Stegostoma tigrinum: one gene and its partner. The protein of the gene in region 2 interacts with the protein of the main gene of each other region in a pairwise test. Links are inferred from orthologs where the notes say so. Each region holds a gene or a part of one and is shown on either strand. Other genes may lie near its edges.

Region 1 (8,414 bases), on a different chromosome or scaffold from region 2:
AGGTTGCATGGGACTCAGGGAGTGCTAGCTAAATGGATTCAAAAGTGGCTCAAGGGTAGAAGGTTGTTTCTCGGATTGGTGATCTGTGACTAGTGGAGTGCCACAGGGGTCGGTGCTGAGGCATTGTTGTTTGTTATTTACATAAATGATCTGGATGTGAACGTACCAGGCATGATTAGCAAGTCTCCAGGTGATAAAACATTAGGAGGTATTGCTGATAGTGAGGAAGGTTATCAAAAATTATAGAGGAGTCTTGATCAGATGGGGAAGTAGGTTGAGGATTAGCAAATGCAATTCAATACAGATAAGTGTGACGTGTAGCATTTTGGAAAATCAAACCAAGGTAGGTCTTACATGGTAAATGGCAAGTTTTTGAGGAGTGTTGTGGAACACAGGGACTGAGGAGGACGAGTACATTATTCAGCGACTGCAGTGTCAAAGGTGGACAGGGTGTGAAGAAGGCATTTAGCATGCTGGTCTTCGCTGGTCGAGGTACCGAGTATAGAAGTTGGGACGTTACGTTACAGTTGCATAAGTTGTCGGTGAGACTACACTTGGAGTATTGTGTCCGATCTGGTCATCCTGATTTGGGAAAGACATAGTTAAACTGGAAAGTGTGTGAAAATTTCCAAGAATGTTACGAATAGTAGTAAGTTTAGGGAGGACCTGAGGGGCAACTTCTTCATGCAGAGAGTGGTGGTGGATGCTGCCAGAGAAAGTGGTTCAGGCAGGTACAATATTAACATTTAAAAAACATTTGGATAGCTACATGGATGGGAAGGGTTTAACAGGGATTATGGACCAAATGCACGCAATTGGAACTAAGTAGGCACCATGGACCAGTTTGGGCCGAAGGGCCTGTTTCCATGCTGTATTACCCTATGACTCTACTGCTTTGAATATTTAGTACACACAAAGAACTCTCAACCCAGCATCTATACTGGATTAGGGAACACTAACTGGACTAACAAAATTGATCAGTATCTACAGGTTGCGGACCAGTGAAAACCTCCACTGCCAGCAATGGAAAAGCCACAGACCAACACACAGTGAAGAGTCAATTCAACTCAACATATGGCTGCTGAGGGTCTCATACTTTGGCATAAAGTATCTTAGCCTTCCTTGAAATCAATATTTCTCTTTTTACCAGTTCTGGTGCAAGGTCATTAATCTGAAATGTTAACCTGACACTTTCAGCATCAGTAGTGCTTTGCTTTTCTCCAGGAAAAGAAATGCCAAGTTTACTCTCCTTTCTAGAAAAGATGAGAATTTCAAATACAAGCCCTCATGGCAATTAAGCGAAGTAAAGCTGATTGAAAAAAAAATGAATGGTTTGAAGACATACTTGTTCCTCCTGGGTGCACTCTTTCTGGGATACTTGGGTTGCCTTCTCAGTCTGAGTGTCTTTGGTCTCCTGAAGGTAGGTGTTGTCCTAATTTTCTTCTGCCTGTGACTATGAACTCCCTTCAAAATGGCCTTCTTTGCTTTCAAGGCCTTGGATTTAGCCTCCGTTTTGGCAGGGACAGCTAAAGATGATAAAGAGTCTTTTATTATACCTGCCCCATCTTATTTCCAGCAAGAACATTAAACATCATTTTTAATAACTGTTATACACAGCTTGATTTTTAAAATCTTAGCAATTTTAGATTATTATTACAGGGCTCAACAGGGCAGTTAGGGAGGGGACTGTTTCTCAGGATAAAGAGAATACCATTTAAGGCAGAGGTTAGGAGGGTATTTTCATGCAGAGGGAACAGAATCTTTTGTGTTTTCAAGACAAATCACTGGATTTATAACGAGTAGAGTTGTTAGGCCACAGGTAAGAGAAACAAAGTTGCCATCGTCCTTTCGGTCCATAGGGCTGCTCTCACTAGAGAGAGAAAAGATACACACAACTGGTTTAACCCAAGGGTCCCCATACCTCAGGTAAAGAAAAAGGTTGAGAAGGAGAATCCTTCATGGTAATCTCTTCCAGTGTGGTGATTAAATCCACACTGTTTGCATGACCCTGCTTTCTATCCAACTGAGCTAAACAATCCAGCTGGATTAAAGAATAGTGATAATGGGATCTGTAGATGCTGGAGAATCCAAGATAACGAAGTGTGGAGCTAGATGAACACAGCAGGCCAAGCAGCATCTCAGGAGCACAAAAGCTGACGTTTCAGGCCTAGACCCTCCATTGGAGCATGAAGGGTCTAGGGCCGAAACATCAGCTTTTGTGCTCCTAAGATGCTGCTTGGCCTGCTGTGTTCATCCAGCTCCACACTTTATTATCTTGGATTAACGAATAGATGGGCCGTGAGGGAAGAGGTTGAAAAGAAGTCCTTCAGGATAACCTCAGGTACTGCTGGATTTGAACCGTGAATATTAACAGTACTCTACATCGCAAAACAGCAGTTGAGCCAACTGAGCTAGGCAGACCCAAATGAGACATTTGGTGGGAAAGTCTTTTGAGGCAGAAGATCAAGTATGATCTTGGTGAATGAATCTTGGGGATGGGCGAGATGTCCTCCTGCAGATCCCATTAACCTTTATACATTTTATAAAACACGCTAACTTCAAAATGAGCAGAAATTTGCTTTCAATTGGCTATTAAAACACATATGATAGTGCTGCAATGCACTAATGTACTCCGGACACTCGTAGACCCGATTTTAACGATTAATACATTTACAGTTCACCAACTAGAGGCTTCTAAACGGCACAGGAATAGCACTTGGCATAGAAACACCAGCATCGGCCAATCCAAGCCAAATCAAAACCATATTGCTATCAGAGCTTTTGAACTGCTGGATCCATTTCCACATGAGGGACCGAGCCCTGGAACAGTCCAGGCCGGGATCCCCATGACATTTTTCACTCCTGGTGCAGGTTAAACCGCCAGCACCCAGACTCGGTGCTGTCAAACACCCCCTCGCCAGCCTGAAACCCCAGGCCTCAGGCCCTGCAGCCACCACGTTGGCGGGCGGCCGATCCGACCGAAGGTGAGTATCTCGGCGATTTAGAATTGATACGGAGCAATTAGCTTCCTATGAGGAAGAGCCGAGTCTCCTTCTTGCCGGAGAGACTGCCAACAGCCTGTTTGTCGGTGTTTGAAACAACAACTCCAGCACCAGGCCCGGAGCCTCTCACCTTCCTTCTTCACCTTCGGAGCCATCTTAGAAAAAGAGGTTGTCTACGGGGCCTCCCGGCCTAAAGAACAGGGAGTTCAGAGAGATCTCGCGAGAGTTCCACACCTCGCCCCAGAATGCACCTCCGCGCAAAGTCCTATGGGAATTGTAGTCCGCTCTCTGTGTGTAGTCTTCATTCTGACTTGCTGATTGACTGGGTCACCCCTCCAGTGATAAATGTTTTTATATGTAATAGCTTGTATTATCGTATTTTATCACTGTGTTAGGATATACCCCTGGAGCATATGGGATTTGACTGGGGCCTTCTGGCTCAGACAAATGAACACTATCACTGCTCCACAAGAGCCCATGTATTTTTCCAGTTACATTACATTCTCTTCATATGCTCTGAAATATTTATCACACACAACCTGAAAATTCTACCACATCTATTAGGTGCATTCATATATCTATTAGCAAAGACTTGCAGAAGCCTGCACTGTTATATTCTATGGTGTGAATAATTAGAAAAATTGTTAAAGAAGGTTAAATTACATGAGTTGCATTCAAATCATTAATCCCATTGCATTACTTGGATCATCAAATTTAGACGTAAGAATATTTAAGTAATTGACAGTATAACAAGACAATTTGTAATTGTTTTTGAATGTTCAAAGTATTGAAATTTGATTAAGTAACCTGCAATGTGCAGAGTTTAAGTAACATCAAGGATATACAATTTAAACAGGGTTTCTTTCTGTCAATGTATTAAAAATCTGACATCTGCATCAATTCCTGTCAACTGGTCCAATTATCATGGAAACTGCCTAATTAATCTTTTCATTTAGTAAAGATGAAGACCTATTAAAGACCTCCTATAGAGGCAGCATCAGAGGAGTAAAGGTGTCTAGCTGAAGTTGTGCACAGCCTTCATGAGAACACACTTAAAGAGTACAATTTTGGTCTTGCAGCCTTAAGAGTGTTATGCTTACCATGGACAGATTGCACTAAACTGATTCTTAGGATGGCAGGATTTTCCTATGAGGAGACTGAGCCTTTATTCCTTACAGTTTAGAAGACTGAGAGGTGATATTATTTGTCATTGTAACATACAATATTTTTACAGGGCTTTACAAGGTAGATGCAAGAAGTATGTTTCATGGAGCTGGGGACTCTAGAAGTGGGGGCATAATCTCAGAAAAAAGGGATAGTCTGTTTAAGACTAAGATGATAAGTAATTTCTTCACTTTGGACTTCTCAACTCCAGAGGAATTTGAAGGCTCAGAGTACGTTCAAGACATATGTCGAAATATTTGCACATATTAAAGACAAAATACGGGAACAGTGTGGGAAAATGGCATTGAGCTAGAAGGTTAGCCATGATCATGCTGAATGGCAGAGAAGGATCAACAGGCTGATTGGTCTCCTCCTGCTCCTATCTCCTTTGCTTCTTTTTTTAAATGCATTCATGGCATGAGGGCGTCACTGGCTAGACTAGCACATATTGCCCATGCCTAATTGCACCAAGGGCAGTTAAGAGTCAGCCACATTGCTGTGGGTCTAGAATCATATGTAGGCCAGACTTGAGTAAGGATGGCAGTTTCCATCTCTGAAGGACATTAGTGAGCCTATTTTATTTCACCTTATTCAGCAAGATGACATAACAGGCATAGGCTATTTGCAATTGGAAATATAAGCATTATAGGGGGTGGCTCATTGGTCTAAGTAAACGATTTTGGGTGGCACAGTGGCTCAGTGGTTACCACTGCTGCCTCACAGTACTGGGGACCTGGGTTTGATTCCAACCTGGGGCAACTGTATGTGCAGAGTTTGCACGTTCTCCCTGTGTCTACGTGGGTTTCCTCTGGGTGCTCGAGTTTCCTCCCACAGTCCAAAGATATGCAGGCTAGGTAGATTAGCCATACTAAATTGCCTGTAGTGTACAGGGATGTGTATATTAGGGGGTCTAGGTGAGATGCTCTGACGGTCGATGTGGACTTATTGGGCCAAAGGGCCTGTTTCCACACTGTCAGGATTATATGATTCTATGATCTAAAATGTTTGACTTCAAACTGGAATAAATTTCAACTGTGTGCTGTAGTCCATCTAATTCCTCCCTTTCAACAGCTGAAGACAACATTCGGGCTTGACGCACCTTGTGCAATGCCACAGAAAATTGAGTGCAGATTTTCTATTAAAAAACTTGCATTCAAATGCACTTCTTTCATTTTTCTTGTGGCAGTTTTTGAACATCATTAATTAAAATATATAATTACATAGCCAGAAGTCACACGACACTAGGTTATAGTCTAACAGCTTTATTTGAAATTACAAGCTGACACTTTTGATCATTTGCAGAGACTTCCTATTCAGCCCGTCGACACTCCATTGACACCATTTGTATGATCTTTTGATCTCTCTGCCTATAAATTCTGTGCCTATATGCTTCTCTTTGCTTCACTTGACAAATGAGTAGCACTCCAAAAGCTTGTGATTTCAAATAAACCTGTTGGACTATAACCTGGTAATGTGTGATTTCTGACCTTGTCCACTCCAATCCAGCAGCGGCACCTCCACATTGTAATTATGCAGGAGATAATCTGCTCTCATGTAAAAAAACTGCTGTCTGTGGGATGAAGATAAAATAGTGAGAGTGATCCAGAAATGAGAATCACAACTACATTCCAAAATAATACAGTAAATCAGCATTTGCAAGCATATCTACGCCATAAGCAGTTTTTGCCTTGCAGGAAATTAGCTCTCTTATTGTTCAGATCCATTCAAGTATATTGAAATTTTTTTTCAGAGAAATGTCTTTATTCATTTTCTGTATCATACAAAATACAAAATCTTATCAATTTGCTTTTTGTTCAATTATTCATTGCGTGGAAACTAAGTTAACTTGTGTGTTGGTTTATACTTTGAATCTCTTTTTCAACAGATTATTAATCATTGTATGATGCATTTCAATTAGTTGCTGGACAGTGGAATGCGTTTGCGTCTCAATTTCTGTATCTACCCATTGCTTACTTAGAAATCAGGCAGATAAAAACATTCTAAAAGACAGTAGTAGGCACGAGGACACCTCCAACAGTGCTTTTGTTTGCTCTGTGGCATGGTTAATACACAGATTGCCCATTTAAGGTGTTGGCTCGATGGTAATTACAATTCAATGGGAATGCCATTGGATTTTCATTACCGGGTTGCAAGCTGTGTTGGGCTGTCTAGGATGTTTGACTGAATGAATGTTTGCAGTACATTTTGGCACTGGTGAGCTCAAAATATAATTTACTTTATTATTAAGCCAGATAAAGAGAAATATCACCAAAAGGAGTAATTTTCCAATCATACAGCTCATCATTTAATGTGATATATATTTATTTATTCGTTCATGAAATGTAAGCTGGGCCAAAGATGATTGCCCATTGCTACTCATCCTTTAGCAGCCTTCTTGAACTGTTGCAGTCCATATGAGGCAGATACACCCACAATGCTTTAGGGAGGGAGTTCTAGGATCTTGAATACTTGACAGCAAAGGAACAATGAAATATTTTAAGTCAGAATAATGTGTGGCATTGGAGGGGAATTTGCAGGTGGTGCTTCTATTCACCTGTTACCATTGTCTTTCTCAGTGGCGAAGATTGCAGGCTTTTGTCAGTTTCTGTAAAAGAAGTTTTGGTGAACTGCTGCAGTGCTCATCTTCTATATAGAACACACTACACTGTGCAAATGTGCGTCAGCGGTGGAGGAAGTGAATGTATTAGGTTGGCAATGGCGTGCCAATCATGCAGGCTGTTTTGTTTTGGATGGTGTCAAGCTTCTCGAATGTTTCTGGAGCTGTAGTGGCTCAGGCAAGTTAAGAGTATTCCATCATACCCCCTGTACAGGCTTTGGAATTGAATCTGTAGGTGAGTTATTCACCACAAAATTCCAAGCCTTTGACCTGTTTTTGTAGCCACATGTCTGCTTGAACTTTATTTATGAAGAAACATCTTCAATGGAAGAGCTGACTTTATAACCCAGGGAATTTCTCCGGGTCTTCAACTTTTGTATTCACTGCTTTTTACTTCGTAGAAGAGGCAAAAGGAGCTTGAGATATCTCTTCACTTATCTAACATCAGATACTGTGCCAACAATTCTCCTACTGATGCCAGAGTCTACATGTGGTGTAACTTCTACTCAGACCTCTGGCATGAATTGAAACAACATACTAGCTTTCTGAGTGGGCATTCGCCAAAGATGCTCAGTGAGTATCCAATGACATGCTCACATCACAAGGAAGCCTGTTATTTACCCCACTTCAAAATCTCAACATTGCTACAGTACTTGTGCAAATCAACAGGAGGTGGCTGAGCAGTGAGAGAGATAGAGGTGTTTCAAATATCTGCAGATTGAAAGCTTAATAGTTCTGAACACAGAAGCTAAGGACTACAAAAGAAGGTAAATCGCAGTTTAAATAAAGGGAGAGGTCACAACATGGTCCTCTCCAATCTGTTTAAAGAGACCTCAGGGTCATTATGGCTACTTTGCTGGGGCCAAATGCCACTTTCCCCCGGCAGTGCTCGGTAATGGCAACAGGTGTGTGATTGAGAGAAATCCACTGGGAACATAGTCACTACCCTCACTCCCTCCCCTGATACAAATTACATGCAATGGACGAGGTGAGAAAATCTAAATTTGTGTCCCCAGGAACTTCCTGATGTGTTTTAAATATTCAACCAACAGTTGGATCATTGTTCTGCCATTGGTGTTTTGTCTATATTATTATTGCTGTGCTATTATATCTCTGCATCAATCTGTGGGAGTAGTTTTTCTCCTGTGAGCAGAAATCAGGGTATACTTTTTCCATTTTCTGCATTAGTGTGAAACATGTAATGTATTTTCTAAATAAGTAATTTACCTCAATAATTTATAGTTATACATTTCGGGAAGTTAAGCTTTGATACTGTGTATGAAAAGTACAATTTCTCAGTGAATGTCAGCTTTTGGAATAATAGAATCTGAAGAAATATTGGGCTTGAAACGTAAACCCCGATTCTCTCTCCACAGACGCTGTCCGGCCTGCTGAATTTCTCCAGCACTTTCTGTCTTTATTTCAGATCTCTAGTATCTATAATGATTTGCTTCCACTGGGTTGGAATATTATTGTTATTGGAGCAATTAACTGAAAGATAAGATGAAAAGAAATGGAAACCAATTTGGTTGTGAAACAAAAGACAGAATACTGTACATGATCTGATTAACACAAGATTAAATGCCATCAAATAATCATTAAACAGAAAAGCCCATTCCAACTCGTGATCA
Region 2 (8,336 bases):
AAACAACCTGACTTACACGAGAGGAAAAAAATACTGCTCCTAATGTCTCAAAACTAGAGTTCTACAAATTTCAAGACAGATTTTTGGTGGACTGAAGCTTTCAAATGATGCTAATTTCAACTCCACAGAAGCACATCTCAAAAGGCTGAAACTAGAACATCACTTCCTTGAGCTAAGTTGTTCACAGGCCAAGGGCGATTTGGGCTCTTTTCTAAAGGTCAGAAATCACATGACACCAGGTTATGGTCCAACAGGTTTATTTGAAAACACAAGCTTTCAGAGTCTTACTGCTTCTTCAGGTGTTGAGAAAGATGGTATCAGACACAGAATTTATAAGTAAAAGCTCAAAAGTGTCACACCACTGATGCGGATGCACTAGACTCAGAGGATATTTTTAAGATCCCATCCTAGCATTTAGGGGAAAAAAAGGCATATCCAACTGACAGAGATAATGGGAACTGCAGATGCTGGAGAATTCCAAGATAATAAAATATGAGGCTAGATGAACACAGCAGGCCAAGCAGCATCTCAGGAGCACAAAAGCTGACGTTTCGGGCCTAGATCCTTCATCAGAGAGGGGGATGGGGAGAGGGAACTGGAATAAATAGGGAGAGAGGGGGAGGCGGACCGAAGATGGAGAGTAAAGAAGATAGGTGGAGAGAGTATAGGTGGGGAGGTAGGGAGGGGATAGGTCAGTCCAGGGAAGACGGACAGGTCAAGGAGGTGGGATGAGGTTAGTAGGTAGATGGGGGTGCGGCTTGGGGTGGGAGAAAGGGATGGGTGAGAGGAAGAACCAGTTAGGGAGGCAGAGACAGGTTGGACTGGTTTTGGGATGCAGTGGGTGGGGGGGAAGAGCTGGGCTGGTTGTGTGGTGCAGTGGGGGGAGGGGACGAACTGGGCTGGTTTAGGGATGCAGTAGGGGAAGGGGAGATTTTGAAACTGGTGAAGTCCACATTGATACCATATGGCTGCAGGGACGCCCTTGACCGCGTCTCCCGTATTTCCCGCAACACATCCCTCACACCCCGCCCCCGCCACAACCGCCCTAAGAGGATCCCTCTCGTTCTCACACACCACCCTACCAACCTCCGGATACAACGCATCATCCTCCGACACTTTCGCCATTTACAATCCGACCCCACCACCCAAGACATTTTTCCATCCCCACCCCTGTCTGCTTTCTGGAGAGACCACTCTCTCCGTGACTCCCTTGTTCGCTCCACACTGCCCTCCAACCCCACCACCCGCAGGAAATGCTACACTTGTCCCCACACCTCCTCCCTCACCCCTATCCCAGGCCCCAAGATGACATTCCACATGAAGCAGAGGTTCACCTGCACATCTGCCAATGTAGTATACTGCATCCACTGTACCCGGTGCGGCTTCCTCTACATTGGGGAAACCAAGCGGAGGCTTGGGAACCACTTTGCGGAACACCTCCGCTCAGTTCGCAACAAACAACTGCACCTCCCAGTCGCAAACCATTTCCACTCCCCCTCCCATTCTCTAGATGACATGTCCATCATGGGCCTCCTGCACTGCCACAACGATGCCACCCGAAGGTTGCAGGAACAGCAACTCTCATTCCGCCTGGGAACCCTGCAGCCATATGGTATCAATGTGGACTTCACCAGTTTCAAAATCTCCCCTTCCCCCCCTGCATCCCTAAACCAGCCCAGTTCGTCCCCTCCCCCCACTGCACCACACAACCAGCCCAGCTCTTCCCCCCCCGACCCACTGCATCCCAAAACCAGTCCAACCTGTCTCTGCCTCCCTAACCGGTTCTTCCTCTCACCCATCCCTTCCTCCCACCCCAAGCCGCACCCCCATCTACCTACTAACCTCATCCCACCTCCTTGACCTGTCCGTCTTCCCTGGACTGACCTATCCCCTCCCTACCTCCCCACCTATACTCTCTCCACCTATCTTCTTTACTCTCCATCTTCGGTCCGCCTCCCCCTCTCTCCCTATTTATTCCAGTTCCCTCTCCCCATCCCCCTCTCTGATGAAGGGTCTAGGCCTGAAACGTCAGCTTTTGTGCTCCTGAGATGCTGCTTGGCCTGCTGTGTTCATCCAGCCTCACATTTTAATATCCAACTGACACTCTACTACCAACACAGCCATTTTGCACACAGCAAGAGTCCATTAATAAAATGGACCACTGCTTAGCTATTGTTTGGCAGTGTACATCATGCAAGATAGGTTGACCAAGGTACCGTTCCATAACGTCACAGAAACTTTGACGTTTTAAAAACCAAGACAAGCACAAATGCCACTGATTAAAGTTATATGGAATAGCCTGACAGTCAAACACTCAGTACTGCAGTATCATCCTTGATTTAGGCTGTGCACTCAATGGTGTACATTAAACTGACACAAGCAAATAAGCAAAGACTTAGCTTTCTACAGGCATCCATTTTCACTGGGATATCCCTAGTTGATTAAGGATTACTGATTTTTTTCCTAGAAACGTTGGATAAATCATTTGTCTGGTAAAAACGTCTAATTATGCTGCACACAATCTTATAATTGGTTGATAAATCAGATAAACCTGTCCTTCCTAGAACATTCTTAGAAGTACATTTGCAAAAACAAGCCTTTCATTCCATTCATCACGAAAATCAGATGATTTCGGCCTTGCTAACAGTCAACGCTTCTACACTCAACTAGATTAGATGTAGCTGTACACATTGTAATCAGAAAAGGTTTTATTATCAAAGTCATCGAGAGCTGGTTACAACAGGGTGTGGAATATTAAGATATAACGGTGTTATAACACCAGAGGAAACGTGTAGTCTCGGGCCACAGACCAAGGATTTATTCTGAACCGACCTTGTCTCTCCGAGCTCACGCGGGGTGGGAATGGGGTTTAAAGTGAACCCAGCTCGCAGGAGCCCCCTCCCCGGGGAGGGGGAAACCCCAGGCGGGACCCGAACAGCATCTGCGCCACAGACCATACGGCGGCACCAAGACCGGGCCCACCCTCCTAGCGGCCTCCGCCACGTGTTCGGGCGGGGTGGACCGAAACGGGAGTCGCTAACCGGGGCCTCTCTTAGGCCGGAGCCGGGGCGGACGACGACAGGGCCCCCTCAGGCCCCGGAGCGCACACGCGACACAAACGCAACTGGAGGCGGTGGGCCCGGGCCGGACACGGTATTCCAGCCCGAGGCCGAGAGCCCGAACCTCCCTGTGGCTTAGCCCCGTTTTTACCCGCCCCCGGAACACCATGTCCCCGCAATTTACCCCCGGCATTCACTTGTTTATTTATTACCCCCCCCCCCCCGAGGTTTCTACCTGGCTCCGTACCTCTCGCTTTCTCCGCGCGCTCCAGCCCCGCTCTCTCTGATGGCGCTAAAGAACGAGCGGCGCCGCCGATTGGTTGGATATAACCTGCGGGGGCGCGCCCCGGGGACCGCCTTCTACGTGCGCGCCCCCAAACCACGCCGGCCGGTGCACGCACCCCCAAACTCCTCCCGCCACCGTTACGTCGTGGGACTTCGATGTTGTGGCCATTTCGGAGACATGGATAGAGCAGGAACAGGAATGGTTGTTGCAGGTTCCGGGATTTAGATGTTTCAGTAAGAACAGAGAAGATGGTAAAAGGGGCGGAGATGTGGCATTGTTGGTCAAGGACAGTATTACAGACGCAGAAAAGATGTTTGGGACTCGTCAACTGAGGTAGTATGGGCTGAGGTTAGAAACAGGAAAGGAGAGGTCACCCAGTTGGGAGTTTTCTATAGGCCTCCGAATAGTTCCAGAGATGTAGAGGAAAGGATAGCAAAGATGATTCTCGATAGGAGTGAGAGTGACAGGGTAGTTGTCATGGGGGACTTCAACTTTCCAAATATTGACTGGGAACACTATAGTTCGAGTACTATAGATGGGTCAGTTTTTGTCCAGTGTGTGCAGGAGGGCTTCCTGGCACAGTATGTAGACAGGCCAACAAGGGGCCAAGCCACATTAGATTTGGTACTGGGTAATGTGCCTGGCCAGGTGTTAGATTTGGAAGTAGGTGAGCACTTTGGTGATCACAATTCTGTTATGTTTACTTTAGTGATAGAAAGGGATAGGTGTATACCACTGTGCAAGAGTTATAGCTAGGGGAAAGGCAATTACGATGAGATTACGCAAGATTTAGGGAGCATAGGATGGGGAAGGAAACTGCAGGGGATGGGCACATTAGAAATGTGGAGCTTATTCAAGGAAAAGCTCCTGTGTGTCCTAGATAAGTATGTACCTGTCAGGCAGCGAGGAAGCTGTAGAGTGCGGGAGCATTGGTTTACGAAGGAGGTGGAATCTCTGGTCAAGAGGAAGAAGAAGGCTTATGTTAGGATGAAATGTGAAGGCTCAGTTAGGGCACTTGAGGGCTACGAGGTAGCCAGGAAAGACCTGAAGAGAGAGCTCAGAAGAGCCAGGAGGAGACATGAGAAGTTGTTGGCGGATAGGATCAGGGTAAACCCTAAGGCTTTCTATAGGTATTAAAGGAATAAAAGAATGACGAAAGTAAGATTAGGCCCAATCAAGGATAGTAGTGGTAAGTTGTGTGTGGAGTCAGATGAGATAGGGGAAGCGCTAAATGAATATTTTTCAACAGTATTCACTCTAGAAAATGACAATGTTGTCGAGGAGAATACTGAGATACAGGCTACGAGACTAGGTGGGATTGAGGTTCACAAGGAAGAGGTATTAGAAATCCTTCAGAGGGTGAAGATAGATAAGTCCCCTGGGCCGGATGGGATTTATCTTAGGATCCTCTGGGAAGCCAAGGCGGAGATTGCCGAGCCTTTGGCATTGATCTTTAACTTGTCATTGTCTACAGGAATAGTGCCAGACGACTGGAGGATAGCAAATGTGGTTCCCCTGTTCAAGAAGGGGAGTAGAGACAACCCTGGTAAATTATAGACCAGTGAGCCTTACCTCAGTTGTTGGTAAAGTGTTGGAAAAGGTTATAAGGGATAGGATTTATAATCACCTAGAAAAGAATAAATTGAGTAGGGATAGTCAGCACAGTTTTGTGAAGGGTAGGTCGTGCCTCACAAACCTTATTGAGTTCTTTGAGAAGGTGACCAAACAGGTAGATGAGAGTAAACCGGTTGATGTGGTGTATATGGATTTCAGCAAGGCGTTCGATAAGGTTCCCCACAATAGGCTACTGTACAAAATGCGGAGGAATGGAATTGTGGGAGATATAGCAGTTTGGATCGGAAATTGGCTTGCTGAAAAAAGACAGAGGGTGGTAGTTGATGGGAAATGTTCATCCTGGAGACCAGTTACTAGTGGTGTACCGCAAGGGTCGGTGTTGGGTCCACTGCTCTTTGTCATTTTTATAAATGACCTGGATGAGGGCGTAGAAGAGATAATGGGAACTGCAGATGCTGGAGAATCCCAGATAATAAAGTGTGAAGCTGGATGAACACAGCAGGCCAAGCAGCATCTCAGGAACACAAAAGCTGACGTTTCGGGCCTGGACCCTTCTTCAGAGAGGGTGTAGAAGGATGGGTTAGTAAATTTGCGGACGACACTAAGTTCGGTGGAGTTGTGGATAGTGACGAAGGATGCTGTAGGTTGCAGAGGGACAGAGATAAGCTGCAGAGCTGGGTTGAGAGGTGGCAAATGGAGTTTAATGCAGACATGAGGTGATGCACTTTGGGAGGAGTAACCGGAAGGCAAAGTACTGGGCTAATGGTAAGATTCTTAGTAGCGTAGATAAGCAGCAAGATTTTGGTTTCCATGTACACAGATCCTTGAAAGTTGCCAACCAGGTTGACAGGGCTGTTAAGAAGGCATACAGTGTTTTAGCTTTTATTAATAGAAGAATCGAGTTCCAGAACCAAGAGGTTATGGTGAAGCTGTACAAAACTCTGGTGCGGCCGCACTTGGAGTATTGTGTACAGTTCTGGTCACCGCATTATAAGAAGGATGTGGAAGCTTTGGAAAGGGTGCAGAGGAGATTTACTAGGATGTTGCCTGGTATGGAGGGAAGGTCTTACGAGGAAAGGCTGAGGGCCTTGAGGCTGTTTTCATTAGAGAGAAGAAGGTTGAGAGGTGACTTAATTGAAACATTTAAAATAATCAGAGGGTTAGATAGGGTGGAGAGGGAGAGCCTTTTTCCTAGGATGGTGACGGCGAGCACGAGGGGGCATAGCTTTAAATTGAGGGGTGAAAGATATAGGACAGATGTCAGAGGTAGTTTCTTTACTCAGAGAGTAGTAAGGGAATGGAACGCTTTGCCTGCAACGGTAGTAGATTCGCCAACTTCAGGTACATTTAAGTCGTCATTGGATAAGCATATGGACGTACATGGAATAGTGTTGGTTAGATGGGCTTGAGATCGGTATGACAGGTCGGCACAACATCGAGGGCCGAAGGGCCTGTACTGTGCTGTAATGTTCTATGCTCACTCTCCGTCTGATTGACAAACCGTGTCCCACCTTGCCTCACCCACTCCATCCCCCCTACACCCCTCCCTGGCACTCCCCCCACTCCCTTTCCCCACGGTCCCACCACTTCATCCCTCCCACTCCATTCCCCCCACACCCCTCCCTGGCACTCCTCCCACTCCTTTTCCCCACACTCCCACCACTTCATCCCTCCCACTGCATCCCCCTACACCCCTCCCTTGCTCTCCCCCCACTCCATCTCTCTCTGCTTTCCTTGCTCTCGCCTGACTTCGTCCCCGGCTTCGCCCCCAACCCGCTGTCCTCTTCCCTGTTCTCCCCCGCCTCATCCCACCCGCTTCCCCCCCCGCTGTCCCCCACTGCCCCCCCCCGCTCTCCCCCCTCTTCATCCCCCCACATCTTCACCCACTCCCCTCCCCTGCTTTCCCCCCAATCCGTCCCCCCCCACACTCTCCCTCTCCCACCCTGCTGACCCCTCCTCCCCACTCTCCACTCTGACCCCAGTTCCACCCCTGTCACCACCACCTCCTCCCTCACTCTGTCCTCCTCCAACCCATCCCCCCCACTTACCTCACTCCCCACGACTTCTTCCCCCGCCACACTCTCCCGCTTCCCCCCCACCCTACCCCCCTCCACAAATTCCTCCCCCTCCCCTCAGTCCCTCTCTGCCTCCTCTCCCACACTCAACCCCTCTCCCACACTTGCCCCCTCTCCCCCACAAAACACCCTCCCACTTAGCCCCTCCCCATCACCTGTTCTCCCTCCAAACACCACCTAAGCTGCCCCTCTCACAAATTCTGTCTAGACCCCCACTCTGTTCACCTTAATGTTCGTGGATTAGACAAGGTGGAATTTTTAAAGTGCATCCAGGAGAGTTTTTAGTGCCAGTGCATAGATAATCCTGCTAGAGGTGGGATAGTGCGAGACCTCACATTAAGGAGTGAAGCCAGTCAAATGGGTGAGCTTGAGATAACACGGTGTGAAGCTGGATGAACACAGCAGGCCAAGAAGCATCAGAGGAGCAGGAAAGTTTGACATTTTGGGTCGAGACCCTTCTTCAGAAAAAATGGGTGAGCTTGTTGTGGATAGTGACCATAATTCTGTAAGTTTCAAAGTTATTGTGGAAAGGAATATGGATAGTGCAGCAATTAAGTGTCTAAATTGGGGAAGGTGGATTTCAATATCATAGAATTCCCTACAGCGTGGAAAGAGGCCGTTGGCTTGTTGAGTAGGCACAGGCCCTCTGAACAGCATCCACGCCAAAGCCACCACCTTACCCCATCTCTGTAACCCTGCATTTAGTGTGGCCAATCAAGGGTCTAGGCCCGAAACGTCAGCTTTCCTGCTCCTAAGATGTTGCTTGGCCAGCTGTGTTTATCCAGCTCTACACCTTATTATCCCACCTAACCTGTATATCTTTGGACTGTGGAAGGAAACCTGAGCACCAAGAGGAAACCTATGCAGACACATTGAGAATATGCAAGCTCCCCACAGACAGTCATCCGAGGCTGAGAATTTTGCCTCCTGGTCCCTGGCACTGTCAGATAGCAGTGCTCACCACTGAGCCACCCTAATATCCTTTGACAGCATCTGGCAAACGTAGACTGGGAACAGTTACATGCAGGTAAGTCTACAATTGGAAAGTAGGACTCTTTTAAAAGCAGTGCAGTGAAAATTCAGGGCCAGCGCAAGGGCAGCAGGACCAGGGAACCTTGGATGTCAAGGAATATCGAAAGTTTGATCATGAAAAAGATATATCAGGTACAGCACATTAAAAACAGGGGAGATCCTTTAAAATTTAGAGGCTGTAGGAGGTTACTTAAAAAGGAAATTAGGATGGCAAAGAGGTGCCATGAAATGCCTTTGGCAGATGGGATCCAGAAAAACCCAAAGGTTTTTTTAAGAGTAATACTAGGGAAGGGTGGGACTTTTTAGAAA

What was found.
Region 1: the proteins of nap1l1 (region 2) and rpl23a interact in binary tests that used the Homo sapiens proteins (3 or more experiments, as listed by UniProt). The link is inferred for Stegostoma tigrinum from reciprocal best matches to the Homo sapiens genes NAP1L1 and RPL23A.

Annotation. Positions count from the first base shown.
Region 1 is NC_081380.1:27,119,732-27,128,145, reverse strand, and holds the start of rpl23a (60S ribosomal protein L23a), read right to left. Parts: upstream 3,252-8,414; 5' UTR 3,158-3,251; coding exon 3,133-3,157; intron 1,527-3,132; coding exon 1,346-1,526; intron 1-1,345.
Region 2 is NC_081371.1:63,286,969-63,295,304, reverse strand, and holds the start of nap1l1 (nucleosome assembly protein 1-like 1), read right to left. Parts: upstream 3,407-8,336; 5' UTR 3,307-3,406; exon of another isoform or gene 3,295-3,306; intron 1-3,294. UniProt on the Homo sapiens protein: Histone chaperone that plays a role in the nuclear import of H2A-H2B and nucleosome assembly.